4 linked regions of the Elephas maximus indicus genome follow. The protein of the gene in region 2 binds, or shares a complex with, the protein of the main gene of each other region. Links are inferred from orthologs where the notes say so. Each region holds a gene or a part of one and is shown on either strand. Other genes may lie near its edges.

The links.
Region 1: TAF5 (region 2) and TAF6 share a complex: the UniProt entries of both Homo sapiens proteins name them as parts of the TFIID basal transcription factor complex. The link is inferred for Elephas maximus indicus from reciprocal best matches to the Homo sapiens genes TAF5 and TAF6.
Region 3: TAF5 (region 2) and TAF13 share a complex: the UniProt entries of both Homo sapiens proteins name them as parts of the TFIID basal transcription factor complex. The link is inferred for Elephas maximus indicus from reciprocal best matches to the Homo sapiens genes TAF5 and TAF13.
Region 4: TAF5 (region 2) and TAF11 share a complex: the UniProt entries of both Homo sapiens proteins name them as parts of the TFIID basal transcription factor complex. The link is inferred for Elephas maximus indicus from reciprocal best matches to the Homo sapiens genes TAF5 and TAF11.

What each region holds. Positions count from the first base shown.
Region 1 is NC_064830.1:91,624,030-91,631,955, forward strand, and holds the start of TAF6 (transcription initiation factor TFIID subunit 6), read right to left. Parts: upstream 3,019-7,926; 5' UTR 2,787-3,018; exon of another isoform or gene 2,721-2,786; intron 1-2,720. Other genes in the region: CNPY4 (protein canopy homolog 4), read left to right, coding at 3,238-3,379, 5,466-5,592, 5,680-5,776, 6,392-6,514, 7,232-7,349, 7,443-7,585. UniProt on the Homo sapiens protein: The TFIID basal transcription factor complex plays a major role in the initiation of RNA polymerase II (Pol II)-dependent transcription.
Region 2 is NC_064834.1:54,832,940-54,840,807, reverse strand, and holds the start of TAF5 (transcription initiation factor TFIID subunit 5), read right to left. Parts: upstream 3,005-7,868; coding exon 2,446-3,004; intron 340-2,445; coding exon 102-339; intron 1-101. UniProt on the Homo sapiens protein: The TFIID basal transcription factor complex plays a major role in the initiation of RNA polymerase II (Pol II)-dependent transcription.
Region 3 is NC_064821.1:172,516,698-172,524,071, reverse strand, and holds the start of TAF13 (transcription initiation factor TFIID subunit 13), read right to left. Parts: upstream 3,002-7,374; 5' UTR 2,941-3,001; coding exon 2,914-2,940; intron 2,042-2,913; coding exon 1,963-2,041; intron 1-1,962. UniProt on the Homo sapiens protein: The TFIID basal transcription factor complex plays a major role in the initiation of RNA polymerase II (Pol II)-dependent transcription.
Region 4 is NC_064819.1:97,761,238-97,768,525, forward strand, and holds the start of TAF11 (transcription initiation factor TFIID subunit 11), read right to left. Parts: upstream 3,008-7,288; 5' UTR 2,891-3,007; coding exon 2,720-2,890; intron 1-2,719. Other genes in the region: ANKS1A (ankyrin repeat and SAM domain-containing protein 1A), read left to right, coding at 4,367-4,563. UniProt on the Homo sapiens protein: The TFIID basal transcription factor complex plays a major role in the initiation of RNA polymerase II (Pol II)-dependent transcription.

The sequences.
Region 1 (7,926 bases), on a different chromosome or scaffold from region 2:
CTAGCAAGCAGCCATCTAAGATGCATTGATTGGTCTCAACCCACATGGAGCAAAGGAGAATGAAGAACACCAAAGACACAAGGTAATTATGAGCCCAAGTGACAGAAAGGGCCATATAAACCAGAGACTACATCAGCCTGAGACCAGAAGAACTAGATGGTGCCCAGCTACAACCGATGACTGCCCTGACAGGGAACACAACAGAGAATCCCTGAGGGAGCAGGAGAGCAGTGGGATGAAGACCTCAAAGTCTCATAAGAAGACCAGATTTAATGGTCTGACTGAGATTAGAAGGACCCCAGAGGTCATGGTCCTTCTGTTAACCCAAGACAGGAACCATGCCAAAAGCCAACTCTTCAGACATGGATTGGACTGGACTATAGGACAGAAAATGATACTGGTGAAGCATGAGCTTCTTGGATCAAGTAGACACATGAGATGTTGGGGGCAGCTCCTCTCTGGAGAAGAGAGGAGAGGGCAGAGGGGGTCAGAAGCTGGCTGAATGGATACGAAAATAGAGTGGAGGGAAGGATTGTGCTGTCTCATTACAGAGAGAGCAACGAGGAGTATATAACAAAGCGTATATAAGTTTTTGTATGAAAGACTGACTTGGTTTGTTAACTTTCACTTAAAGCACACACACAAAAAAAAAAACCTCCTTGAAAGAGTTGACTTTGAACTCCTTTCTAATTCCTTTCCTTTCCTTCTTATACCCACTGCAGGCTTTTGCCCCCACTATGTCCCTGAAACTGCTCTTGTCAAGGTCACCAACGATTCCACATCACTAACTCCAAGGTTCTCACCTTACTTGACCTCTCAGCAGTATACAGTTGACCACTGCCTTCTTCTGAAAATACTTTTCTTCACTTGACTGCCAGACTACCTGCACTCGGTTTTCCTCCTACCTCACTGGCTACTCCCTTGCTGTTTCCTTTACTGGTTTTTCCTTTTCTGTCTGCTTAATTTTGGAGTGTCCTGGGCTCAGTCCTTGGTCTTCTTCTCTAGCTACATTTACTTCTCTGGTGATCTCAACCACTTCTATGGGGCAAACTTATATCCCCAGCCCAGATCTTTCTCCCCAATTCTAGACTTGTATACTCAACTGCCTCCTCAAAAGCTCCACTAAAACTGAACTCCTGATCTCTACCCACCTGTTCCAGGCTCAGCTTTCCTAATCTTCACTTACAGCAGTGCCGTCCATGCAGGCACTCAATCTTTATCTGAACCCTCACATCGGACCCACTCTGATTCCCCCACTTCCAACATCTTGGCCCACGTCACCATCATCTCTTCCCAGGATATCTTCAAAAACTTCTTAACAAGGTCTCCCAGCTTCTACCCTCACCTACCTACATCTATTCCTAATAACTATTCCTAATAGCCAACATAATTCCATCTAATGTAAACCCCATCATGTCATTTATCTGCTCAAAATATTGTAATGGCTCCCCATTTGCCTTATAGTAAAATCCAAAATGCTTATAATGGCCCACAGGGGCTTTTATGGTTTGCCCCATCCTCATTTTATCTCTGACTTCCTTTCTTTCCCTTTTCCACCTCCAGCCACACTGTCCTCTTTGCTGTTTTTTGAAGCTGCCAGGCATACTCTTGATTTATAGTCTTTGCTCTGTTCCTTTGGCCTGGAATGCTCTCCCCAAGATATCTGCTTGGCTGCCTACTGTGACCACTCTATTTAACATTCCATCCCACCCTCATTCTGCTCTACTTTGTTCCTCCCCTCCCCCCCCCCGCCAGCATTTAACATCTAATATATTCTATAATTTCTTATTGTTTACTACCACCATGTGAGCTCCATGAGGACAGGGATATTTGTCTGTTATGTTCACTGATGTATTCCAAGAGCCCAGGCAATGACTAAGGCAAGGTAGACCCTCAATAAATATTTGAATGAATTGTAAGGCTTAGAGATGTTTGTATATACCACGTAGGTGTTCAATAAATACTCGGCATCACTACTGCCAAGATGAATAAGATACAGGCCCAAGCTTGGAATCTACTCTGTGATCAAAAGTAGTATACTTGGAGCTGTACATTAGGAAGATACAGGTCAATAGTGTTCAGCACCGACTTGGGGGGCAGGGGAGCGTGAAGGAGGACTGGAGACGGGGAAGGTGCAAGACGCAGGAGAATTTGGCTCTTCTCAAACCATCCCAGGTCTCCTCTCCCATTTTATAGCTACATTTTTATGTACCTGTAGGGAACACATTTATTCAACACATATGCTGTGCCTGGTGCTGGGTACACAAGAATTCCTATCAATCCTCCAACATCCAGCGGTACTCACCTCCCCTCAGCGAAGCCACCCCACTCCCCAACAGAACTAATCACTCCCCCGCCGTTGTCCCCAGAATCTGGTCCTTTTCAGGACGTTTCCCACTGGAGGTTGACTACGTATCTGTCTTTCTGCTACCCCCGCATTGGGCCCTATAGATACAGGTGTGCAATGAGGGCTCATAAAACTCCCTACAGCCTCAGAAGCCCCTCAGATCAGTGGAGGCACTGGGAAGGCTTCCCAGAGGGCTGGCTTGACCTACGTCTTCCAGGCTGTGTAGTTTTCCCAGCAGAGAAAGTGGGGGGAAGGCCCCCAGGCAATGGGTACAGTGCGAGCAAAGGCTCAGAGAGCCCACCCCATCTCCCCCAACATCCTTCAATGCAAACACACACACGGGGGTCCCCACGCGCAGGGACACACAACCAACCGTCCTCTTGCCGGTCCCCACAAGGGACCTTTTGGGGGTCTTGTCCCTGGTATCACTCAGACCCACCCCCGCCAGCCGAGCGTCCAAGCCTGCAAAGTCTCTCACCGCCGCCAAAGCGCCGCTCACCCGGCGCTGGGCGCCATGTTGGGCCCGCCCCCTCTAGGGAGCAGGTCCGGGCAGAGGACAACAATACACGGCCCCTCCGCGGAGCTGGAACGAGTCCCCTAGCCTTACGTCCTGAAATGATATAAAAACACTGTTTCTAAATATGTGGGAAGGAGTACTCTCTCCCGTCCCAATTACTCTGATTTATTCCTTCACTACCCGTCGGCCAGGACCTTCAGGAGGCGCCACCAAACCTGGGCGGGGAAGCCCAGAAGTACGTAAGGCCCCGCCTCCTTCGGTGGGCACTGCGCACGCGCTCGAGCTGCTAGGCTGGATTTCCAGCAGCCGTCCACCCCTCCCTCTGAATTTAAAGGGCCCGCTGCCTTGCAAAAGTTGGTTCGGAAATAGAAGAATGGTTGTTCGTGGACCGCACTTTGTCATGGGACCTGTGCGTTTGGGGACGTTGTTTTTCGTTTTGGCAGTGTTTGGGGCTCGGGCCAGAACGCCGAAGGAGCAGGACGATGACTTAGAACGCTTGCCCAGCAAATGCGAAGGTATCTAAAGGGAGTAGCATCTATCTGTATCCCCCTGCCGCACTTCCCTCGGCTGGGAGCGCGTTTGGGATGAGGGTGGGAGGATGGGAATGTAAGAAAGGTTGGGGCCATACAGTAAAGAGACTTGTATGCTATTGCTAGAAACATTGGCTGTATTCTGCTCACAGTAAGAGGACTGCAGGGGTGTTAAAGAAAGGACTGATACGACCAAAGGGACCGTGATGGATAGGTCACTCGACCTTCTTGAATGCCTGTAGGCGGTTCGGTGAACTTGGCAAAATTCGAAAGAGATCAAGGAAGGGAATGGCATAGTGCGATCTCAAGACTATGGCAGTACAGTTCCCATGAGACATCCAGAGGGAGCCCCCTTTGTCTTGCGAGGTTGGGCCCCCATGGTTTGTGGGAATTGTATTTCAGGGACTATGCCCAGGACTGCCTACTGCGTACTGAGCATCTTCGGGTGTGTGTGTGTGCGTGCCCCTTGTCACTGGACCTAAATCTGGAGGGCGTGCCGGAGCCACGTGTGAGGTTCATACCTGTGGACATCCTCTGTCCCAGCTCCACAGAGAGGCTCTCAAATTACAGGACCTGTGCACCCCTGAGGGGGGCTGGGAGTGAGCAACTCCACCCTTCAAGCTCATAAACCAAAGAGGAGGTCACACTGCTGTGAGTTTCCCTATGATGTGAGGCCTTGTAGAGGGTGTGCACTGTATGGATTTTACAGCAAGCAGCATCTTCTGTGGCTGCGTTAGTGTGGGCCCAACCTGGGAGGGGCACTTCAGAGCTGGGTAATCAGGTGCCCTGGTGTCCCTAGTTTGTTGCCTTCCTGATGGTAATTTCTTCCCTGGATCCTTTTTCTCTTCACCTCATCCCTTACTGCATATCAGTAGCAGTGTTTCTCAGACTCTGGTCCTAAGCTCTCTTCTCCCTTCACTTCTGTGTCCCCACTCTTCTCTCCACCCGGCAACATCCATCATCCTTTCTGAACACAGACATAAGCGTGTCCATCCGCTTGTCCTTATTTTAACACCCCTACAATCCTCTTACTGTGATCAGAATACAGCTAACATTTTGGGCATAGTGTCTTAAGTATCTTTGCTGTAACCTTTCTTATATTTCCGTTTTCCCATCCCCTATCCCAAAACGGCCCCAGCCACACTGAACTTCTCACTGGTCACCGGTCACCGACTCTGCCTTATCCTCTTGCACCTCTTGCCTTTGCACATTGTTCTTCCCTTTGCCTGGAGTGACCCTCTCCTTCTGTGTCTGGTAAGCACCTACCTATTCTTCAAGACCCAGTTTAAACATTACCTCCTCTGGAAGTCTTTTTCCTCATGTGTCACCTCCCACTGTATCATGCTCCTTGAGGGACAGGGTGTGTCTGTGTATTCCAAGCCCTAGCATAGCACCTGGTACGTTTTAGGCACTTTTGTTACTTGCTCCAGTATTTAGTTTGCCTGTCACTTCTGTATTGGTCATACGCTTTTATTGGGACCCACCACGTACCAGGTCGCGTGCTAGGTGCCGGAAATACTGTGGCAGAGCAGGAGTGATGTTTGCTCTTCAGGAAATCACTGTTGAATGAATTTTGTGTTTCCTCATGAGGATGTCTCTTTATCTGAATCCCTAGTGTAGAGTCCATTGCACCATATTGTCATCATCTGTCTGTCTACACTGGCAGTGTCACATGTCCCATGGATAGGGATTGTGGGTTTTATTGCTGTCTATATTAGTGTGCATACAAAAGTCACTCAATAAATAATTGCAAAATAACAGCAAACGTATATACAGTGCTCACTGTGTGCCAGGCATTATTCTAGGGGCCTTACATATATTAACTTATTTCATCTTCGCCGTACCCCTTTGAGGGAGATACTTTCATTATCTCCATTTTAGAGATGAAGAACCAAGGCACAGCAAGATTGTCACACAGCCACTAAGTGGCTGAGCCAGGATTCTACCAGTTAGACTGGCCCCAGAGCCTATACTTAACCGTCATGCTGTGCTGCCTTTGGTCATCTGCAGAATGAGGTGCTGGTGTGTTTGTTTTTCTCTCACATCTCCTTGAACGTCTTTATTCCGTAAGTCTGTAAGCTGCTGAGCCTGGAGCTACAGGAGGAGCTGAGCCGCACTGGTCGATCTCGAGAGATGCTGGAGCTGGGGCAGGTGCTGGACACAGGCAAGAGGAAGAGACACGTCCCTTACAGCATTTCGTGAGTCTTCCTTGGTGTCCCTTCACTGTAAGAGCCCTGAGAACTCCTACAGCATCCAGGGAATCCTTATTTCCCCTCTTCCCACAGGGAGACAAGACTGGAAGAGGCCTTGGAGAATTTATGTGAGCGGATCCTAGATTACAGTGTTCATGCTGAACGCAAGGGTTCACTGAGATACGCCAAGGTCAGACCCTTCTCCAGGGCAGCCATGGTGGGGGATCCCACCTCTTAGAGACAAAGACTTATATTCCCTGAGGTCCACAAGAGATGTCTGCCCATCACTCCCCATCTCCAGTGTCCCCTTCCCATCATCAGACTCCCCCCTCTCACCTTCATGGAATTCACTCCTCAGTCTCCAGTAGTTGACAAAGTGGATATGGTGGGAAAGAGGAAGAAAGAGGTGGCCAGCAGGCTGATCCCATACAGGGGTATAGTGAGCGTAACCAGTGCCCAGGGGCAATCTCTAAGTTGCTTGGAGTCCCTCACATTCAAGCACCCAGGGGCAATCTCTATATTACATGCCTTCCCCAAATTTGAGCACCCAGAGGCGATCTCTAAGTTGTGTCCCCACCCCAATTTCAAGATGCATAGCCTTCGATAGTGGCAACTTGTCAGCAGAAACACCTTATCGCCTCTTGTCTGGCTGAGCCAGTTTTCATATTTGTGGCGCCTCGAAATGTTATTCCGCATGTCATCTGGCACCCCCTTCAACTTGCATCTCGGGGCAAGTGCCCCACTCTGCACCCATCTAACCCCCGCACCCCACTACATCTCTGAACCCAAATTCCTCATCTCTCAGGGCCAGAGTCAGACCATGGCAACGCTGAGAGGCCTGGTTCAGAAGGGGGTGAAGGTGGATCTGGGGATACCTCTGGAGCTGTGGGACGAGCCCAGTGTGGAGGTCACGTTCCTCAAGAAGCAGGTAGGATAAGATATTGTGCTGCCCGAGGGGGGAGAAGGGGACCTGAGAGGAGAACTGGGTCCTAGAATTTGACAGTAGGAGACGTCTACCTCTGAGCAGGGAGAAGAGGGCAGAAGTGGTAAAATGAAGACTACCGTGAATTGAAGTGGGCTTGGGAGAATACCAAGAAGTGATAACAGAGGCTAATAAATAACCCCTACGGCTTATTGTGGGAGCTCTGATTAGAGCTCGGCTGATAACCAAAAGGTTGGCAGTTGGAATCCACCAGCTGCTCTTTGGAAACGCTATGGGGCAGTTCTACTCTGTCCTATAGGGCTACTATGAGTTGGAATCAACTCGATGGCAATGGATTTGGTTTTTTAACTGCTTATTGAGCACTTGCTATGTGCCAGATTCAGGAGGCCATACTTCCCAGCTGCTGCCTCATTTACCCTCACAACAACCTCTTGAGGCAAGTACTATTACCATTCCCCATTTTACAGGCAAGGAGCTGAGATTCAGAGAAGTTCAATAAACTCCCTGGCACAGAGTAGGTGCTAGGAAATGTTTATTGAGTGAATGGGCATCACACATCTAGTAAGCCAAGCTTAAAACCCAGGCTGCCTGCCTCTCCAAGGTCAGCCAGGTGGGATAGGGGAGACAGGAAGTGGAGAGCAGAGAGGAGGGTTTCCGAAGCCCAGCAGAACAGACGCCCTTTTGGCCCTTCCTCCTGACTAGTGTGAAACAATGCTGGAGGAGTTCGAAGACGTTGTGGGAGACTGGTACTTCCACCACCAGGAGCAGCCCCTACAGCATTTTCTCTGTAAAAGGCACGTGCTTCCAGCTGCAGAAACTGGTAAGTGTGTGGGCTGGGCTCCTTTCCTGCGAGGTCACAACCTCCCCTATTTCCAGGACCAATATCTAAACCATCTTCTGTCACCCAACCTAGCGTGTCTAGAGGAAACTTGGACTGGAAAGGAGGAGATCACAGATAGACAAGAGAAAACAGAAGGGGAGGAGGAGCATGAAGAGGAGGAAGAAGAGGTAACCAAGACACCAGGCCACCCCAAGCATGACCCAGAGGACCTTTGACTTGTCTTGGAGCCCCCAGGAAGGGCAGGGGTCATGGAGAAGAACCTTCTGACGTATGAGCTTTCCCTGCCCCACAGCTTTAATGCTGTATGTTGTGTGAGTGACCCATTCCAGGGCTTGTAGCTGTTCTCTCCTATCTGAGGCTAGGCAGGATCCTGGTGGTACAGCATGGCATACTACTGGGAGAGGCTGGGAGCAGCAGGTTGAAGTCCTGCCCCAATAGATGGGCCCTCTGCCTGCCATCCAGCACCTTGAATGGCAGGTGTGTGTGCTGACAATACCCAAGGCTTTCCCCTTTAAATATCTCTATTGCTTCCAGAGGTCAGCAGTGACTTTGGGGC
Region 2 (7,868 bases):
TTGAGTTGTGATCTTACATTTGTGTGGTTACAGACAGACAAACACACACTTTATATAGGTTATATACAGGTACATGTTATATAGGTTTATAAATTACATACTTCTCAAAGAACGATTTTGCTTCATTCTCATGTTGATTGTAGACTAGCTCCAAGTACATATGCACAAACAGAGGATAAAAGAGTTGGGACAGCTCTGCCCGATGGCAGTCCAGTGAACATTCGATGAAGTGTTTAAGTCCACTATAGTATTCTTCATACATCGCAGGATCTCCTTGCTGGTTGTAAGCTGATAGCACAGCACTAACATCCGGCTGGTCTTCCACAGCTACACTTCCAACTGTTTAAAAAAGGTAAAACAACTTTCAAGAAAATGACCTGATGATATGTACCATGTGGCATGGCTATTTTGCTAAAGTTCAGGGGTGAGTTGTTGCTAAGATATGCTTGTCTCTCTTCTCAATTTCTCCTCTCCCAGCGTAATCACATGGTCTTCTAGTGGGAGTTTTCACTTTGTTTCATTCAGCCAGGCCAAAACCCTATATTTAGCTTATCCGTATCTTAAGATAAATATTGAAAATCAACAACAAAGATTCAATACTTTTCCTATAGTTACCTTATTTTACGTGCAAATTTTATAAAAGATGATATGTATAAATCAAACAACTATGTTAATCTTCTCCCAAGGCTCAGTGCAAATGGCATACCGCTCCCACCACCACCACCAGGAAGCCATGCCCTGGAGTAACATTCCCAGGTCTCTGTGCTGCCTAAGTACTTTGTAACTTTCCTGTAACATATCCTATCCTGTGTTACCCTCACATGTATACATCTATGCCCCTTCGAAAATGTAAGAATTTTAAGAGTGAGAAGGACCATGCCTTCCTCTAAAGATAATTAATTCAAATTGAGTTGTTAAAAACCAATTTCAATAACCACCATTTCAAAGCAGAAAACATGACTAAAAATACATTTAAAAAAACTTGTAACATAGCAATACCAAATAATGATATATCTGTCAGTTTAATCAAAGTTTGGTTGCTGAAAATTTTTGTAAGTTTCAATTATATTACTGGTATGCTCTTTACTGCATAAATGTTATCAATTTTTGTGGTTACTCTGATGGCCTGTTTTATTATTAGTTTCTCAGTTATGATCTTTAAAAACAGGCCAAGTTTCTGGAGAGATGAGAGATTATAGCCACATAACCAATAACACAATTCATCTATCTTATAGTTTATTAACAAAATTCTTAATTCACACTATTCAGAAAAGATTCCTCTCCATCACATTTTTACATATTTATATTTATGGATACAGTGCTATGTATTCATGCTTCACTTCTGGCAATGCTGCAAAGATTAGGTCTCATAAATAAAAGTTAACAAGGCTAGGGACTCTGCACTAGATAATTTAATTCAAAAAAGACTTATTGTTGGCTCAGGATCACCTTTGAGACCTTACACTATGTGTGAGATTAACCGCATGGACTTTGTGACAATAGTTGCTTGGGGGGCAGGGGGATATCAGGTGTCAGGGATGGATACCAAGGCATAAACCTATCAATGCCAATCATTCTATATACATTATATTTAATCCTCACAATAACCCATTTAATAGAAAAAAAAAACTCAACTCAACTTTAGGGAAAATAACTTAATTAGTATCGCACAAGTAAAAGAAGCAGGGACAGAATCTGAACCCAGGTCTGTCCAACCCCCTATTCCTAAACTAATGGTTCTCAAACTTTGCCATACATTAATACCCCTTGGAGGCATTGATTTAAAATGCAGATTCCCAGACTCCACCTCTAGAGGGTCTAATTCACTAAGCCTAAAGCGATGTCCAGAAATCTGCACTTTAATAAGCATCATCAAAAAATTTTAACACTAGTGGCACTTAGCCCATATTTTGAGAAACGCTGCCTACACTATGTTCCATCACTTCCTGACTAGTCCAAAGCAAGTCTCTTGACCTTTCTCGGTCTGTTTTCTCATCTCTAACATAGAGGCAATGTCTACCTCACAGTGGAACTGTGATAACTAAAATATGTAACTTAAAAAAAAAAAAAGTCCTTTTAAATTACGCTAGTACGGAACTGTACAAATATTGTTAGTGTTAATGCAGACCTGTCCAAGGCTCAGAAGCCCAAAAGCCCAAATGAGAGAAGAGGGGTCAAATGCCTGAAGGTCCCTGCCGCTCAGCGTCTACTTTCTCCCATACAGCCTCAGTACAACAGCTCTCCTCAGCATCTAGCTGAAACTGACAGCTCGGGAGAGGGTTTGACTGCGCAGCCGGAGCACCAGAGAAAGGGGCGGGCATGTGGCCCTAGAGGCGGGCCCAGGAAATTCAAAACAAGCCCGCAGAGGTGCAGGCCTGCCAGCCCCTGCGTTCCCGGCTTGCTCCCTTCATGCCAGCCCTGCTTCCCCGGGACTCTGCGGCTCACCTTTCCCCGGAGCCGCAGTACCTGAGGCTGAGCCCGAGACAGTGACGACCCCCGACGCGCCGGTGCTCGGAGGGTCGGGGGCTGCCGGGCCGGGGGCCGAGGCGGTGACTCGGCTGAGAAGTGCGCTAGCCGCCTCGGCCCCGGTACCGTCCGCTTCTCCTGGGGCTCCGGAGCCCGCCACTGCCTCCTCCAACAGCCGGGCTTCGCGGCGCAGAGCCTCTTCGGCCTCGCGGAGGTTGCTCTGCCGTAGGAACTGCAGCACTGCCAGCAGAGTCTGTCGGTCGTGGGGAGCACCGACCTCCGGAGCTGCGGCGGGCACCGGGGCCGCCCCCGCCGGGGCAACGGTGGAGACAGCCACCACGGGCTTTGGGGTCCCGCCATCCCCACCGGCCGACGACGCCGCCGCAACGTTCCCGCCGCCACCGTTGGGGCCGTTGTTGGTAGTGCCGCCGCCACCCTCGCCAGCGCCGTCCCCTGCCTGCGGAGGTAGCAGCGTTGGCGGTCCCTCAGGCTCTAGCTTGACCGCCACCTCCGTCTGCTCCTCCGCCAGCGCCGCCATCTTGCGGCTGAGCCAGTTCGCGCCGTCAAGCGTGGTTGCGTTTTCGCCACATGGAGGGCGGGGAAGGAGTATTTCACGACAGCTCTGGAGGGCAATTTACGGCAGTAGGAGGAGCGAGAAAAAAAAGGAGAAAAGGAATAGGAGCCAAGAGCAATTTTCAAAAGTGTAAAGAAAGGCAGGAAGTATGGTTTGGTGACCGCCTATTACATCTTGTCTGAAAATAGTTATCCTTTAATGCAGACCAGCTATATCCAGGTACTGTGAGAGACGTTTTACATTTTATGACTTCCTTTTACAGTCTTATAAAGTACTATTTTCTCGACATTACAGATGTGAAGCCGAGCCCCAAGGAGTTTAAATGATTTGAAAAAGCCACACAAGAAGTAAGCGACAGTGTCAAGATTCGAATCCAGGTCTTTAAGTCAAAAGCACATTTGCCAGGGAGAAGCTTCTGAAATACTGGTAATGTTTAATATTTGACCTGGACAGTGGTCTTTTTTGTCTTTTTTTAGCCATTTTTACTTTTTGTAGGAATTAAGCTACATGCTCAAGATTTGTGAATTTACAGCATATATGTTATGTTTCAATAAAAAAAAGTTTTTAAGTACCTGAATTTTGTGAAATGTGTACACTCTGCATTCATGCTGTTGTCCATTATTACAAATACACTGCATTTTAATTTTATACTTAAAAATAACATGCCATTTTGGGATATGCATCATAGGTTATAAACCCCTGCTGCATATTTTATTTCATTTGAGCCTCACAACTCTGGGATAGGTACAGATGAGGGAAGTGAGCCTGGGGCCTTGGGGTGATCAAGCACAATTGTTCAGGTTGTGGGTTTTGAGGTCTTACTGGCTTTGTTTGAATCCCTGCCTACCTCTTCCTAGCTCAATCACCTGAAGCAAGTTACTTAACTCACCATACCTCAGTTGCCTAATTTCTAAAATAATAATACCTACATCACAGAATTTTTTTTTCATAGAATTATTGTGAGGATTAGGTGAGAAAATGTGTATGTGATACCTGATGTTGTTAGTTGTCCCCAAGTTGATTCCAGCTCATGGCAAACCATGTGTGTGTCAGAGTAGAACTGTGCTCCATGGTGTATTCAAGTCTGTGACCTTTCGGAAGCAGACCACCAGGCCTGTCTTCTGAGGCGCCTTTGGGTGGGTTTGAGCCACCAACCTTTTGGCCAGTAGTTGAGCACCTATTTGTGCCACCCAGGGACTCCATGTGATGCCCAGCACATAATAAATAAACCTGTTGTCATGGAGTGGATTTTGACTCATAGTGACCCCATAGGGTTTCTGAAGCTGTAATCCTTACTAAAGCAGACTGCCACACCTTTCTCCCACAGAGTGGCTGGTGGGTTTTACTAACCTTTCAGTTAGCAGTCAAGAGCTTAAACCTTTGCACCAACAGGGTTTCTATTACATAATAATTAGTCCTTCATTATTTTTACTTCAGTTTAAAAGGTGTTCTGCAAATGTTTAATCAAGAAAGTCCAGTGATGATGTTCAGGATGTGGTCTTGGGACTGAAATATAAAACTAATTGGATGTCTTAAGTACAAATATGAGACATGGGGTGTAAAAAAAGAGAGCCATGAGCAAGAATTGGTTAGCCTTTACTCAGCACTGGCCAAGAGAGGGCAAACCTGAATCTGATGGTAGATTCTTGTGAGATGGGAAGAATTCAGCCTTTTTCTCAAACCCATTCAGCTTTCATTTTTATGATTCAGTACTCACTAATTAACTTAGTTAACTTACTTTATTAGTTTTCCAGGCACTACATAGATGGGAGAAACCATGAATAACAAGCTGAAATGTGCTTACTGGAAAGATGTTTTACTCCATTGTGAATAATAAATTAACATTCTGATGCATACATTAACCTCTTGAATCAGGTCCTGGGAACTGGATCCACTTGGACCAAGATGCTGGGTCCCACAAAAATACAGCAACCCCCTACACCCCGGCCCTATGAGGTCTACCTCTTCCCTAGCTTTCTCAATTAACTTTCAAAGGTTTAGGTTGGGACTTCTGCCAGGTTACTTACTCCATGTGCAATGATTTTTGCTACACCACAATAGAAATAAGTTTATTGAGTGCCTGCAAGGACCGTTTTTATTTTTTGCTTCTCATTTTCCCTTCATCCCTGTCCCCTACTCCCATTCTCCTCCCACTTCCTTCCAGGAGTCTTTGAGAAGACTGGCATCCAATTTCTCCACATCCTCACCAGCATCTGAATTTTGAATTATAGATAGAAACCCTTTCCTTTCACCCAGGTTATAGAGAAATTCACCCATGTTTTCTTCTAGAGGAACCAATATGATATTTTTTGTTGGTTGGTTGTTTTCCAATTAGATCCCTATTTAATTTGGGATTTAATCTTATCTTTTTCGAATGTGTTTCAGAGGTTCCATGACTTCTTCAAGTTTAGCAATTCACTGAAAGTGCTCACAAGACTTAGTCGCAGGTCATGCTCATGGTTAAGGATTTTTATAGCAAAGGATACAGGGCAAAAGGAGCAGGAAAACAATGTGCATTGGCAGAGTGCAGAGGGACCAGGCATAGGCTTCTGCATCTTTCCCATCCAGGGCCGCCCAGAATGTGCTTTCTCTCTAGCAGCAAACTACAAGGATCCAAGTGGTATGTCTGCCCAGAAAAGCCTGTTCAAGTTTTAGGGTCTGAATCTTTTATGTAGTGCTGGTCATATGGGAGGGAGCCCTGGTGGTACATTTCTTAAAGTGCTTGGCTGTGAACTGAAAGGTTGGTGGTTTGAACCCACCAGCTGTTCCATGGGATAAAGATGTGACAGTCTGCTTTCATAAAGATTTAAAGCCTTTTCTGATGTCTAAAATCTACATGATACTGCAAAAATTCAACAACAAAAAGACAAATAACCCAATTAAAAAATGAGCAAAGATTAGAGAAATGCAAATCAAAACTACAATGAGATTCCATCTCACCCCCAACAAGGCTGGCATTAATCCAAAAAACATGAAATAATAATGTTGCAGGGGGTTGAGGAGAGACTGGAACACTTATACACTGCTGGTGGGAATGTAAAATGGTACAACCACTTTGGAAATTGATGTGGCGCTTCCTTAAGAAACTAGAAATAGATCTACCATATGATCCAGCAATCTCACTCCTTGGAATATATCCTAGAGAAATAAAAGCCTTTACACGAACAGATATATGCACACCCATGTTCGTTGCAGCACTGTTTACAATAGCAAAAAGATGGAAGCAACCAAGGTGCCCATCAATGAATGGATAAATAAATTATGGTATATTCACACAACGAAATATTATGCATCAATAAAGAACAATGATGAATCTGAAACATTTCATAACATGGAGGAATCTGGAAGGCATTATGCTGAGTGAAATTAGTCAATTGTGAAAGGACAAATATTGTATAAGACCACTATTATAAGAACTCTAGATAAAGTTTAAACACAGAAGAAAATATTCTTTGATGGTTACAAGGGTGGGGAGGGAGGGAGAGGGATATTCACTAACTAGATAAAAAAAAAATTAGTAGACAAAAAAATTTTTTAGGTTAAGAGAAGGGCAACACATAACACAGGGATGGTCAGTACAACTGGACTAAACCAAAAGCAAATAAGCTTCCTGAGTACAACCAAAAATCTTCAAAGGCCAGAGTAGCAGGGACAGAGGTCTGGGGACCATGGTTTCAGGGGACATCTAGGTCAATTGGCATAACAAAATGTATTAAGAAAACAGTCTGCATTCCACTTTGGTAAGAGGCATCTAGGGTCTTCAGTACTAGCAAGCGGCCATCTAAGGTGCATCAATTGGTCTCAGCCCACCTGGAGCAAAGGAGAATGAAGAACACCAAAGACGCAAGGTAAATATGAGCCCAAGAGACACAAAGGGCCACATAAACCAGAAAATCCATCAGCCTGAGACCCAAAGAACTAGACGGTGCCCAGCTACCACCGATCACTGCCCATCCTGACAGGCAACACAGCAGAGAATCCATGATGGAGCAGGAGAACAGTGAGATGCAGATCTTAAATTCTCATAAAAAGTCCAGGCTTAATGGTCTGACTGAGACTGCAGAGACCCTGACGGTCCTTGTCCCCGAACCCTTTGATAGGCCAAAACTGGAACAATTCCTGAAAGCAACTCTACAGACAGGGATTGGTCTGGGCTATAAGATAGACAACGATGCTGGTGAGGAGTGAACTTCATAACTCAAGTAGACACCTGAGACTATGTGGGCAACTCCTGTCTGGTGGCGAGATGAGAAGGAAGAGGGGACAAAAGCTCATTGAGTGGACATGGGGAGTTCAGGGTGGAGAGGAGGAATGTGCTGTCTCATTAAGGCAAGAACAGCTGGGAGTGCACTGCGGGTTATGTATGGCTTTTTGTATGAGAGACTGACTTGATCTATAAACTTTCACCTAAAGCACAATTAAAAAAAAAAAATTACAGCCTTGGAAACACTATGGGGCAGTTCTACTCTGTTCTGTAGGGTCACTATGAGTCAGGATCGACTCGTCGACAGTGGGTTGGGTTTGGTTTGGTTCTTATTGAGGAGTCCCTGGATGGCTCAAATGGTTAATGCCCTCAGCTGCTAACTGAAGAGTTGGCAGTTCAGGTCCAACCAGAGGCACCTCAGAAGAAAGGCCTGGCATTCTACTTCCAAAAAGATCAGCCATTGAAAACCCTATGGAGCTCAATTCTACTCTGAGACGCATGGGATTGCCATGAGTCAGAACAACTCAACAGTTTTGGGGGCACATGGGAAATATATCTTGCTACACAGCCAGCCAGTCATGGCAACTGAAACTAAGGACCCATCAATGAAACCAGGTGCATGCA
Region 3 (7,374 bases), on a different chromosome or scaffold from region 2:
GTTAGCCCAAGACAGGAACCATTCCCAAAGCCAACTCTTCAGACAGGGATTGGACTAAACTATGGGATAGAAAATAATACTGGTGAGGAGGGAGTTTCTTGGATCAACTAGACACATAAGACTATGTGGGCAGCTCCTGTCTGGAGGGGAGATGAGAAGGCAGAGGAGGTCAGAAGCTGGCTGAACGGACAGAAAAAGAGTAGGTGGAGAGAAGGAATGTGTATCTCGTTAGGGGGAGCACAATGAGGAGTATATAGCAAGGTGTATATAAATTTTTGTATGAGACTGACTTGATTTGTAATCTTTCACTTAAAGCACAATAAAAAAAAAAAAAAGATTACAACCTTGGAAACTCTATATGGCAGTTCACCTCTGTCCTACAGCACAGAACCTACTCAGATGATATTAGTTTTCCACTAATGTCCTTATCCTGTTCCAGGATCCAACTCAGGACCCCACACTGCATTTGGCTGTCATACCTCCTTCATTTCCTACCATCTATGACAGCTCCTCAGTCTCTCCTTGTCTTTCATAACCTTGACACTTTTGAAGAATACCGGGTTTGTCAGATGCTTTCCCATGATTAGGTTGAGGTTATGCATTCCAGGGGAGGCTATCTGCCTTTCTCAATGCATCATATCGTATCAGTATATATTACTGGTGATGTTAACTTTGATTAATTGGTTAAAGTGATATCTGCCAGGATTTGCCCCCTATAAATTTACTATTTTTCCTTAAATATCTTGAGAGATTATTTTCTTGCTCTCATTTTGATGGGTGGAATTCACCGGTAGGGAAATATGTTTCTCTGGAAAAGGGTAATTTATATTAGAAGTATATAAACTGTATTTGGTATAAGGGTTTATAAAGGCATGAACAAATCCCAGTGAATGCTCTGAAACATCTCATGTTATATTAAAATTTTTCTAAAAAGAGGATTCAGGAAAACAGCTCTTGATCACTAAGATATATGAACACTCAGGTAAGACAAGAATGCTGTGAAGATTCCAAATTCTTGTCATCACAAAGATAACTGACGTGGAACAAAGGTCTCTGCTAAGAACTAATTATGCAAGCATCACTCCCAGATGCTCTGTTGTGGGGTCCCCTTTCTTATACTGACATAATAGTTATTAAAACCACATACAAATGGCATAAGTAGCATCAGAGATGGAATAAGGAGTGGTCAAGTAAGCTCTGCGTTAGGGGAGGAATTGAGATACAGAGAAGGATTTATGTGGTTTAAAAAAAAAAGGCATACTGACCCTGTGATTTCAACAGTATTTGAGAACTGCTCATGTCTGATCCAGGATAAATACACCAGGTATTCATAAATCTGTGTTGCCTCATCTGTCAATACCCATGGTCATAGCTACATTTAAAAGACCCTGGAATGGGAGATGGAGAGCACATTCTCATGGTGCCTTTGGACAAGGGGGGGTATGTCTTGATGATCAGTACTCACAGCAGCTCTCCTTCCCTCTTGCCAAAAAGGGTCAAAACTGTCTACTGAGTGAGCAGGATAGAGAATCGATACATTTTATCTCTGTGGCACTGTAATGCCTCACACTGTTCACCTGCCCTCCTGCCTTGTCCACCACCTCAGTCCAAATCCCCAACTTTGTTCCTACTCTCAAGCACATGTGTTCCCAGGATTCACCTGTGACTTACAGTCAAAGGAGTTTTTGCTCCTCCTGCTGCAAAAGGGAAGGACAGGAAAAGTAATGGCGATATGTTTTTACGCGCTGAATTGAAACACTGGTCACATGTCCTCCTTAAAATATACATAAAAATTGGGGTTAGGACCATTACTATCCAAAAGTTAAACAGGATGTTATAGGCAAGTGTGAGAACATTTTACCTACAGGGAAACATATTCAGAACGATAAACCTACTTTGATGAATGGATGTGTCCAAAACTTTGTATCATCTATAATAAAATCATTGTCAAATACAACTTACATTCTTTAGAAAAAAGTCTCTTTCTTTTGCCCTGTCCACCTTCTGCACCTCCTCCAATTTCTTCATTTTCCTCCTCAAACTAGAAGTTAAAATGTATATATTGAAATGTCATATGATTGCATTGCATTTGATTTTTAATGATTACCATTTTTTTTCCCATTATCAACACTGGTCTCAGACCAGAAAGCCCCACAAGAAGCAATAAATCATGAAACCTTAGCAATGACAAGGCCTTAAAGACTATTTAGTCCAACTTCTGACTCATGAGGAATGCTTTCTACATTGTTCCTAACAAATAATCCCACTGGCTCTCCTGAAGAGTTCCAATGACTGTAAGTTTTTTTTTTTTAACCAAATTGACCTATTGGTAGACAGTGTTACTGTCAAAAAGAGTTGTACTGAATCGAAGTTTACCTCACTGTAGTAAGCAAAACTAGTATTTACTAAGCATAGTACTAGGAGCTTTACTTAAGTAAGCCTTAACACCATGTTACAAGGAAACCGAAGCTCAGGGTTAAATAACTTGCTCACAGAGAAAACAAATTTTGAAATCCAAGCTCCCTGATATCGGTTCATTATTTTTTCACTACTTTAAAGTAAGTAAAGTTCTGTTAGTTGAACTGCTGGCTCATAACGAGCTCTAACAAATATTGGCTTTGAACTCTAATGATTCTCTACACGCTCCAAAAGGTGTCTGGAAGATATGAACCAAAACCAAACGGAAAGGTGCTACCTTCCTACTCTTCCTTCACGTCTTGCCCCACGTACTAAAAAGATGAATCCTAAGGGCTCCCTTCTTTTTTGTTTAAGGGCGAGGCGCGAGGTCCCCAAACTTTCTTGGTTCAATCACTAAGGCAACAGACTTGATTCTGAACTCGGCCTCAGAAGCCGCCGCTACTGAGCCTGAAGGAGTGAAGAAAAGAGAGAGTTGGCACAGAGGCGGTCACTCACGGTAGGGTCTTCTTCTTCATCTGCCATCTCATCAGTCAGCCAACCTCTCGCTCTAAATGGGTTTTACTACTTCCGCCTCCTCACTTCCTGTGACGTCAGGCGCGGGGCGGGGCCTAGCCGGGCAGCCGCCGGGGAGGAGTGCCAGTAGTCCTGTCTGGAGGCCTAACGGGAACAATCTCTAACGAAAGAAGGGCGAGGTCCGTCCTTCCGAGGAAAGAATTAAAAAACAGCAGAGAGAAGGCAGTCATGTCTAGGTGGCGTGTATTTCGTCGTCAGCCTACATTTGCTTTTAAGTTGGGAACTACTGTTTTCCTGATTCGGTACTGCCATTGAGGGACAAGCCAGCAGTCCTTGAACTGATGGAAAGCAAAAACAAAAACAAACCTGTTGCGGTCCGATCGATTCAGACCTATGGCGACCCTATAGAACAGAGTAGAACTGCCCCGTAGGTTTTCCAAGGAGCGGCTGCGGGATGTGAACTGCCGACCTTTTGGTTAGCGACCGTATATCATTTAACAACTGCACTACCAGGGCTCCTGAATTGGTTGAAGGTGTATTTAAACAATTTCAGCCATTTACAGTTCCACTATCATTTATTGCCAAGTACAGTGTTAGTTATTGGGGATATTGTGCTTCGTTACTAGTTCTCAAGGGGCGATACCACCTCCTAGGGTTTTTGATCATGAAAAGGAGCCCTGGTGACTCAATAGTTAAGCGCTGGGCTGCTAATTGAAAGGTCGGGGGTTGCAACCCACGAGCCGCTTCTCCCGAGAAAGATGTGGCAGTCAGCTTCCTAAAGGTTACAGCCTTGGAAACCAGATGGGGTAGTTCTATTCTGTCCTATATAAGGTCACTGTGAGTCCACGACAATGGGCGATAGGTTTTGGCTTTTTTGGACGTAACAATGATTAGGAAAACCAAGATCATTAGAGGGCCAGGGCTAGGAATATGAGATGTCCTGCAATGCTACAGATGATGCCAAATGTGAAAATTGTTCCGTAATACACACGATTTCTGAATGTCCTACTGAACATTCATGTGAGTGAAAAAACTATATTATCTGAGCTTAGAACCTAGCTTTGCTAACATAAATACAAAAATACTTCCCTACACTTTTAATGTACATTGAATTTTCTAGGAATGCTAGTACCCCGAAATTGGTTGGTGTCATGGATTGAATTGTGCCAATCTATGTCATCTGATGTGATTTTCCTATGTGTTGTAAATCCTATCGCTATGAGATGATTATTAGCAGTTATATCGATGAGATCTACAAGATTAGATGGTGTCTTCAGCCAGTCTCTTTTGAGATAAAAAGAGAAGTGAGCAGAGAGACATGAGGACCTCATACCACCAAGAAAGCAGTGCCAGGAACAAAGCACATCCTTCGGACCCAAGGTTTCTGCACTGAGATGCTCCCAGACTAAGTTGATGATAAGGACCTTCCTTCAGAGCCGACAGAGAGAGAAAGCTTCCCCCTGGAGCTGACACCCTGAATTTGGACTTCTAGCTTACTAGACACTGAGAGAATAAACTTCTGTTTGTTGAAGCCATCCACTTGTGGTATTTCTGTTATTGCAGCACTAGATGACTAAGACAGTAGGTGTATTGGCTATTTATTGCTGTGTAATAAATTACCCAAAAATGTACTAACTTAAAACAACATCTATCACACAATTTCTGTGGGTCAGAAATCTGGATGCAGTTTATCCGGGCACCTCTGACTCAAGGTCTCTCTAGTGTTGCAGTCAGGGTGTTGTCTCATCTGAAGGGTCAATGGGGAAGGATCCACTTTCAAAATCACTCACGTGGTTGTCAGCAGGATTCAATTCCTTGAGGGCTGTTGGACTAAGGGCTTCAGTTCTTCATCAGCTATTGGAGTCCTCCCTCAGTTCCCTGTCACATGGTCCTCTCCATAGGACAATTCATAGGCATATGAACTGATTCCATAGGCAGCTGGCTTTTCTCAAAGAAGGTGAGCAAAACAGCCAGGGAGACTATGCAAGGCAGGAGACACAATCTTTTTGGAACTTAATCTTGGAAGCGATATCCTACATAGGGTGAGAATACCAGGAAGCGGGGATCACAGTGGGCTGTCTTAGAAGCCACCTACCCTAGTAGATCCTATTATCTGTGAATTTCATTTTCAGGATAATAAAAGGGGCATTATATTTGTTATTTAAGGGGGATTATTGAGTTCAGTGGAGCCCTGGTGGTGCAGTGGTTAAGCATTTGGCTGCTAACCAAAAGGTCAGCAGTTGGGATCCACCATCCACTCCTTGGAAACCCTATGGGGAAGTTCTATTCTGTCCTACAGGGTCACTACGAGTTGGAATCGACTAGACAGCAACAGGTTTGGTTTGTTTTTTTTTTTTTGGTATTGAGTCCGATAGGACTGAGAACCACTATATTAGGCAGTAATGAAAGACTGGACTTGTCCAGGGGGTCAGGTATGAAATATTCCCAGTTGTTAGGGATTGAATTGTGTCCCCCCGAGATGTGTGTCAGCTTGGCTAGGCATGATTCCTGTTATTGTGCAGTTGTCCACCATTTTGTGATCTGATGTGATTATTCTATGTGTTGTAAATCTTCTATGATGTTAATGAGGCAGGATTAGAGGCAGTTATATTAATGAGGCAGGACTCAATCTACAGGATTAGGTTGTATCTTGAGTCAATTTCTTTTGAAATATAAAAGAAGCGAGCAGAGAGGAGAGGGACTTCATACCACCAAAAAAGGAAATGCTGGGAGCAGAGCAAATTATTTGGTCCCAGGGTACCTCCACAGAGAAGCTGCTAGATCAGCAAGAAGACTGATGACAAGGACCTTCCCCAGGAGCTGACAAAGAAAGAAAGCATTCCCCAGGAGCTGGCGCCCTGAATTCAGACTTCTGGCTTCCTAGACTGTGAGAGAATAAGTTTCTGTTTGTTAAAGCCATCACTTGTGGCATTTCCGTTATAATAGCACTAGATGGCTAAGACACCAGTGTTCATTCAGGGGAGTGGATAGGTAAACTGTGCTGGGTGCACACCAAGGGGTACTATGCAGCAGTCAGAAGGAAAATATTAGCAACATGGATGCAGCTTAAACACATAGAGCTAATTGGTGTGGTGGCTATAAGAGCTGGACGGCTAACTGAAAGGTCAGCTGTTTGAACCCACTAGCCATTCCACAGGAGAAAGAGGTGGCAGTCTGCTTGCATAAAGATTACAGCCTTGGAAACCCTATAGGGCAGTTCTACTCTGTACTATAGGATTGCTATGAGTTGGAATTGATGGAACAGCAGTGTTTGTTTGTTTTTTTAAGTAAAAAAACAATACACAATGAGAACTATAGCATGATACCATTTATGTAAATTAAAATTATATGCACACAAAACAATATACATTTTACAGGAACATATAAACAAAAGCATAGGCATTAAACACATTGGAAACGTTGCAGGGTAGGAGGAATAGGAATAGGGATAAAAGGAAATAAATAGCTTAATAACATGAGAAGGGCTTTGGAAGGGCCAATTACAATAGTCACAAACCATGGGGCATGAATAATTATACACTGAACCTGAAATCCAAAATAGAAAATAAAGTGAAAAAAAAGTTGCAGCACGATGAGCAGAGCAGAAATAAAACACAGAATGAAAAGTCACGGCATGTTTCTACAAGATGCTCTGGATGGGTTGCCAGAGACAAGTTTGTTGGGTAGGGATACAGGAAATGAAGCTGGGATGAGGCTGGGATTAGACTGTGCAAGGCCTTGACTTGAGATGACCCCTGGGCATTCATTACCCTAGCTATGCCTCTGGTGGGGTAACTTTTTGTGAAATAAACATTATTTTAATTGGTTTCTTAGCTTCTTTTCTTCATTGTTCCTCTAGTCAGATGGAGACCATTTGCTGTACCTTAGATACCTGCTTGCTCACAAGATTTTAAGACCCCAGATGCCAAGCAGCTTCCCAAAAAACAAACCCATTGCCACTGAGTTGTTACCAACTCATAGTGACCCCCTAGGACAGTGTGGAACTGCCCCATAGGGTTTCCAAGGCTGTACTCTTTACAGAAGCAAACTGCCACATCTTTCTCCTGCAGAGCAGCTGGTAGGTTCAAACCACCAACCTTTTGGTTATTAGCCGAGTGTACCACCTGGGCTCCTTATGTCAAATAGTTTAGTAGCTTGATAATAATATACAGGTAGTCCCCCAATGACATATTAGAGTTAGGAGGAACCACACTTACAATCATCCTCTTTTTTTTTTTTTTGTACATCTTACAGTTAGTAATATGTACTGAGAGGCAGATTATCCACTAAGCAAGTAACCATAGTGTTTACCTTGCTTACCAGATCATCTGTAGCAAACAATTTCACTACAGATTAGTAAATAAACACAAGTAAACGTGTGCTTACCTTGTTTACCTTGTCATCTGCACCTATCCAGGACTGCAAATTTAAAAAGAGGTTTTG
Region 4 (7,288 bases), on a different chromosome or scaffold from region 2:
TCCTAACTAACTTTTCTACTGTATCAAGCAACCTTTTATTTCCCTTTGCTAGAATGAAAACTATTGAAGATAGTCTCCTACTATTTATAAATCTCCCCCATAAACATTTAACAGACTTTTACTCATGCTAGTTGTTCAATAAAATTCTGTTTAATTAAAAAATATATATATATATACACACACACACAAACTTTATCCTCTTGAAGTCAATACAGAATCTAAGGGTACAACAAAACTCACGAATGAGATTTATCCTGTTTCCCTTAAAGAGGAATTCACATTTAAACTCATACAGGAATATGGGAATGGAGGGTGGGTGGGAGTGAAGATAGACATGCTTTTCAAATTTCTTCTCTAGTTAATGATTTATATAAAAATTCTAACCTCTTTGTGCTTCAATTTTGGTGATTTATATTTTCCTAGCAAATCATTCATTTTTCTTAGATTTTCTATGAGTCGGAATCAACTCGACGGCAGGTTTGGGTTTAGGTTTTCAAATTTGTTTGGCCTAAACTTGAACATTAAATTTTCTCCTAACTTTAAGGATCTCCATATCAGTGCTTATAGCCCCTTTCTTATTTTGTAATGTTGTACGTTTACATTTCAAATAATCAGGTCTTAACTTTATGATTTCTTAACGTTTTTCAAGGGCTAATTCGCTAATGTTTACTTTTATCCTAATTAGCTCTTTGTTCCTACATTCTTCTGGTTTATTTTGCTTTTTTTTTTTTCTGATTTCTTGAGTTGGGTGCTTATTTTCGATATTGTTCACTCACTAACAAAAATATTTAAGGCTGTGAATTTTTCTCCAAGTTAGACTTTGGTCAAATTCCATAGTGTTTGATACAGACTGTTCTTTTTGTTAATTTCTTTAAGGACTATTTAAAATGACCCAGTGATTAGTTTATTGTTAATTTCAGGATTTACTGCCTTAAGTTGGAACCGACTCTAGGGCAACTAACAAGAATAACAATTGCACTGTACTAACAGAACGTGGCCTATTATGATTTCTACATTTATGAATTTACGTTTCTCTTTGTGGCCTAGTACATGATCAATTTTTAAAAGTGTTTCAGAAGTATCAAAAAAGAACCTATATTCTCTGTTGGCTGCAAAGTTCTATTTGTAGTGAGTTCTCTATTGCTAGGTGGTGTTATTAGTTGCCATCTAGTCAGCCTGGATTCCTGGGCGACCCTATGTAGAACATATTGAAATGTTGCCCAGTCCTGTGCCATCTTTGTGATCACTGGCATGTTTTATCCCATTGTTACAGCTATTGTTTAGCGCCTTCCAACCTAGGGGGTTCATCTTCCAGTGCTATGTCGCACAATATTCTGTTGTGATCCATAGGGTTTTCACTGGATAATTTTCAGAAGTAGCTTGCCCGGCCTTTCATCCTAGTCTGTCTTAGTCTGAAAGCTCCATTGAAACTTGTCCACCATGGGTGACCCTGCTGGTATTTCAAATACCGATGGCATAGCTTCCAGCATCACAGCAACACATAAGCCACTACAGTACAACAAACAGACAGATGGTAGAGCTCTCCATTGGACCAAGCTAATTATTATTTAAATCCTTTCTGTCCTTGGGACATCTTTTAAAGGCTCTTTCTTAAAATAGTTTTTGTCACATCTTTTTTTCTAAAACTTACTTTGTATATTTGGAGGCAACTTTGTGCCCCGAAAGGCTATTTCCATCTAATCTAATGTGGATTCCACGATCTCTTAAGTCCTTTCTAGCTCTAAGACCCCAAGATTCTATCTCTAGAAATGAAACACAGAGAATGCTGAGATTCTGGTCACTTGGCAGATCCTCAGCTAGGCAACACTCTGAGCTCTGGGGGTGGCATAACCGATGGGTCTGACGTTTTTATGCTCTATAGACTCTTTGACATTTGCACACAGGTCACTGTACTTGGTAGCAGTTAAATGTCCCAAGAGAGTAAGAATGTCTCTCTTCAAAGTCTCCTTTTAATGGGATCTTATCGGTTCTGTCATCTATAAAGACAAAAGTTATGCTTAACCAACATCTAAGAGTGCCCATGGGTGCACTGGTGGCCCAGTGGTAGAACTCTCCCATGCGGCAGACCCAGGTTGGATTCCCGGCCAGTGGACCTCATGCACTGCCACTCCCTCAGTGGAGGCCTGCCTGTAGCTATGATGCTGAACAGGTTTCGGTGGAGCTTCCAGAGTAAGACAGATTTAAGGCCTGGCGTCTACTTTAGAATATCAACCAATGAAAACCCTATACAACCCAATGGTCCAATACAACCCATCATGGGGATGGTGCAGAACCGGGCAGTATTTCGATCTGTTGTGCATGGTGTTGCTATGAGTCTGGCCGACTCTATGGCAGCTAACAAGAGGACTCATATTTTGGTGAAAAAGATACTAGGCCAATAGCCGGTAATCCTGGGTTCTAGTACTGGCTCTTGCACTAAGTCTCGATGTGACATCGGGCCCTAACTTCTTCACCAAAGACTGTTTAAAATTCCCTTAGAAGTAGTTTAATTCCTAAGAGTAGGGATTAAAAATATTAACCCTGTACGTGGGCCTCTGGAATGTAACCAGCACTAGGCTTTTTTCCCATGACTGACGATCTAGACAGTGTTGTGAATTTGAGCTCTTGTAGCTTAGGAGGGACCAACCAAGAAGCCTGGCGAGCACCCAGTAACCTAGTCTCGGTGTACTCCTCCCGCCTAAACAACACACCTCCCTACCTCGCCTTCTTCCACCGGGGTTTCTTTCAATTCCCCATCTCCGTCCCCGTCAGCTTCCTCGGGTATTCCGTCCGTGTTGGCGTTCCCGGGACCCAAGGGAGCGGCGGGTGTCTCATTTGACTCCCCTGTCTCTCCACCTTTGTCCGTGGGCGACTCGCAGGCATTGTCCATCTCCGCGAGAGGCGGAGAGTAGACCGCGGCGCTGTCAGACGCGGGAGCGCTGAACCCCGCTCGGCTCAGCAGCCCCGGAGCTTACTTCCTGTCGTCGCGCTGTGATGACATCACCCCTACCGCTCGGCGGAGGGGTCAATTGGGGGCACGTAGAGCGGCTTTTGATGATCTGTTTTAACTCTTGTGGGGCGGTGGGGTGAGGGAAAATTGGGGGTACGGAGTTCAGTTTGTGGATCCTTCGCTCCGGGGTAACCAGCTTTTGTGAAGGCGCGCACTTTTGTTTACTGAAGGGCTTCTTTTTCCTTTCCGCCTTTTAAAAAATGCAATATCAGTTAACCCCCTCGTTAACCTGACTCGCTGAGTAAAGAAGCTGCGGGGATATGGAAGGAAACTCAGTTCCGTTGTGTGCTCGTGCCGCGGGATGCGGCTGCCTTTGACTGGCAAACTTCCAGGCAGAGACTCAACCGCGTACGTTTCAATTAAACAGACTGCGGGCCCGGGTTTACAATGAGTTGCTAACATTTCTATTCCGCATGCACTTAAAAAAAAAAAAAAAAGTAATACTAGATTGAGCAGAAACTATCCACTGCATTTATTCACTCCACAACTCTTGAGCGCCTACTTCGAACCAGGAACCAGTGAACAAAACAGTTCCTACCCAATTAAATGATGTTTACAACTTACCAGTAACTGGAAAGTTCGGGGCCGGTTTCACAAATCTGCCTTTTTATGTCAGTTTGGTTAATCTCATAAAAAAAAAAAAAAGGAAACAAATCCTTTCGGGGTCAAATTTTCTCCTTTGATGTTTCACTCAATGAGCCATTTCAGGAATTGGGAGGACGAAGAGGTGAGAATAGATCTATTTTAAAACCTTCCTCTGTTTCCTCCTTCGAGCTCATTAATAAAGTCCGGGAAAAGGGCACGTTTTATTCACCTATCACTAGGTCCCCGCGCCCATTAGATATTTAACTTGTGCGTGCTTAAAGAATAAACTTGGGAATGTAGGTGCGCGTTACCATATTTCTCTCTTTGTTTCTGCACTGCCTGGATGAATTACCGTATTTCCTGTCCCGTGGGCTCCCAAAACCTTCGGTAAAGGAGCGCACTTTGGGAGGCGTGTACAGGTAGACCTCGTTTGTCCCCTTCCACTTGGATAGCGAATGGCCACACGGTGTCGTCCCCTGGCCCCTCGAGCCCTATCCCTACAGCGGAGTCCACTTCGCGTTGGCCCAGCCACCTGAGCCCGCCCTCCCAGCCCCGCCCAGCTAGGTGGGCAAGGGGGCGGGGCTCGGGGGCGCGGTGACGCGTGACGCCAGATCCCGGAAGTGACGCGCGCGTGGGGAAAAGGCGGGGGGGAGGGGGGTGGTGTCCCCGGCCGGTTTGGGGGGTGCGTTGCCCGGAGACGGAAAGTTTGGGAGCCTGCTCGGGCTCTGCTGCGGCCCCGGGGCTGGGGTCTAGGGGGCGTCGGCCCTGGGGATGGGGAAGGAGCAGGAGCTGCTGGAGGCGGCCCGCACCGGGCACCTCCCGGCGGTGGAGAAGCTGCTGTCCGGGAAGCGGCTCTCCTCCGGCTTCGGCGGCGGCGGAGGCGGCTCCGGGGGCGGCGGCGGCGGCGGCGGCGGCGGCGGCGGCGGCGGCCTCGGCTCCTCCAGCCACCCCCTCTCCAGTCTGCTCAGGTGGGTACGCGCGGGGACCGGGCCGCCGCCTGGAGATCCCCCTCTCCCGCCCATCTCCTGGTCCCCAGAGAGGTCGGGGCTCCTGAGACCTGGGCGGGGTGGGCTGCGGGTTGAGCGGGGCGAGGACAGGCGGCCCACCGGACCGAGAACTGGAGGGGGCGCTGGTCCGGGTCCGCGCGGCCACGGGCTTTCCTCCCGTGTCCTACCCGGGTGCGAAGAATGGTGGGAGTGCCCAGGTGGCACCCTCCGCCTCATGGCACAGCTCGGCTTCACCCTTACCCGGTATAGGGTGCCAGCTGTGGCATCTCACAAGCCGATTTAGAGCAAAAAAATAAGTATTTTAAACCTCCCTCACCTCCTGCCGAAACTCCCACGCCTTGCAGAATTTCGCGGCTCTCCTGGAAGAAATTCTGTTGATTCTTTAGGAACTTAAAACCTTCTTCCAGGCTCTGCAGGACCTGGCTTTTGTTTATATTAAAATTGTCTTTGGATTTGTCAGATTCAAAGTGTTCTTCTTTGAGCCCGCCTTGCGCTTGAAGTTCGAATTCTAGTTCCTTGTACTGCACTTCACTGGATTAGTCTGTTAGTGACATATGCAGGATTCATCAGGGGATTTATTCATCAAGAAATAAAGATTTAGAAAGAGTTGTTTAGGAAACGGAGGGGTTCTTTAAACTTTTCCAAGATCTGTTGTTAAAATAAACACTTAGGTCTAGAGTTGAAAGGATTGAAGGAAAAGGCCACTGTTTGTGGCTTGGAAGGGGGTTTGAAGGTCCTTCGTCACTGCGAGTTAAATTTTGTTATTTCAGCAGCGCTTTCATACCCTGTTTTCTTTTCCTTCCTTGTTCTTTGAGGTTTTTAAGATGTGGAAGTTCATTTAGAAATGGCTTCGTTAGCATTTGTTCCCCATTAGTTTATTTAACTGCGATTTGAATGTGCTTGAACGAGGTTTTAATAAATTGTTAAGTTTTAAACACTGAGTACCAACCCAGGTGTATACAGAAGGATCTTAAAAAGCAGTGTAAGGGAACTAACTCTCCCCAGGAGCGTCTTTTGGGAGGCAAAACCGTGTGCTATTCACTGCTGTCTCCCCATCCTGTAAAACAATGCCAGCACATAGTAAGTACTAAATATTTGACGAATAAATAAAACCATGAAGTAGAAAACCATAAATTTCTAAATAAACTGATTGGTACTCGCTGTAATTGTTAGTAGTTTGGAGAAAGGAGAGATTGCTTTTGGATGACATGGGGGTCAGGGGAGGCTTCCAGGAGAAGGGGGACTTTAGCTGGCCTTGAAGGATGCAAGGACTTGGATAGGCGAAGTCCTGTGAGCTAGAGCTTTCCAGGTGGGCACACCATGGTTAGAAGCACAAAAGTGGGAAAGGAATGGCGCTAGTGGAACGCTAAATTAAGCCAAACCCATTGCTGTTGAGTCAATTCCAACTCTTAAGGAGAATTTCCCACCTGGAGCCTTGACTGTGGTTGGGTGCGATAAAGCAAAATAATGGATGGATCTGAATTCAGAATGACTTAGCCCTTCTCATGTTTATATTTCCAGCACTGAGGTCAGTGCCTGACAACTCACAGGTGCTCTGTAAATGTGCATTGAATGTACGAATCAGGTTTTGAGTCTTACCTGGATTACTTCCATACTTTGCAGTTATGATGTCCGAGAGATGGGGAAAGACTATAGAAGTTTGGAGATGTGTCTGCCTCTAATGAATGGAAAGATGCAGTATTTGGAGGTTTGCCAGAGATGTCTTAAACCTGCAGCATACTCTGCTGAAGCGAGAAACTTTCATATATCTCCTCCCCCCAAGTACAGGTCAAGTCACTCTTAGTGCCCTCGTTCAGGGACTGTTGGAATTTTGTTGAGATTTAGCTGTCACATAGTTTTGCAAGACTAGGAAATCTCCGTTGAGCACAGTGTTTTTACTTTGGGCCTCATGCTCATGTATGTGTTCTGTGTCTGTCATAAAGGGTGGGTGGTGTCTCCATTCTCCTGAGTAAAAGAGCTGACGCCTGACTTACTCCTGTGTGTGGTGTTGAAACAGCAGAAGGCCTAGAACTGCCCTAGCCTCTCATTCCTGCGACTCCTGGGGGCAGGGAGGATGTGCAGGCACTAGTTATAATAGGTGTGTCATTAATTACAACCATCTCAGTGGTGACTCTGGTTAAAATGAGTGAAAGATTTCTGAGCAAATGAGACCATGCATTTAAATAATCCCAGGTCAGCATGTCCTCCCTTTTTAGGCTTAGAAATAGTGAAAGGTAGGCCCTCTGTACCCCCACTTCAAGGACCCTGAGTTAGCTGTGGAGTCATAACGTTAATACGGCTATAGAATCAAAACTTTAGAGTTGGTTTTTGTCTTAGCTGCCGTCTCCCACCCCACCAGTCCTGCCAACTGCAATCCTGCATTGGTGCAGCTCTTTGAGTGACTGAGTAAAACTGGCAGGAATGGGGGCTTAAAGCTGCAGAGGGTATAAATGTTCCAAACCCCATGTGTGCTTATGTTTACTCATCTATTATGACCCTCCTTATTCTACAATGGCTTTGTACTTTGTGCCCCCTTCTCTCTGCCCGTCTCTTCTCTCATTCTACTTGGGCTTAGGTCTTAACTTCTTAAAGCCCTCCCTGATGACCCTAATACACACAGATGTCTCAGGCTTCTACTTTGGAATATATCATCTGTAGTGTTAGCTTACCTATCGACAATTCTTTG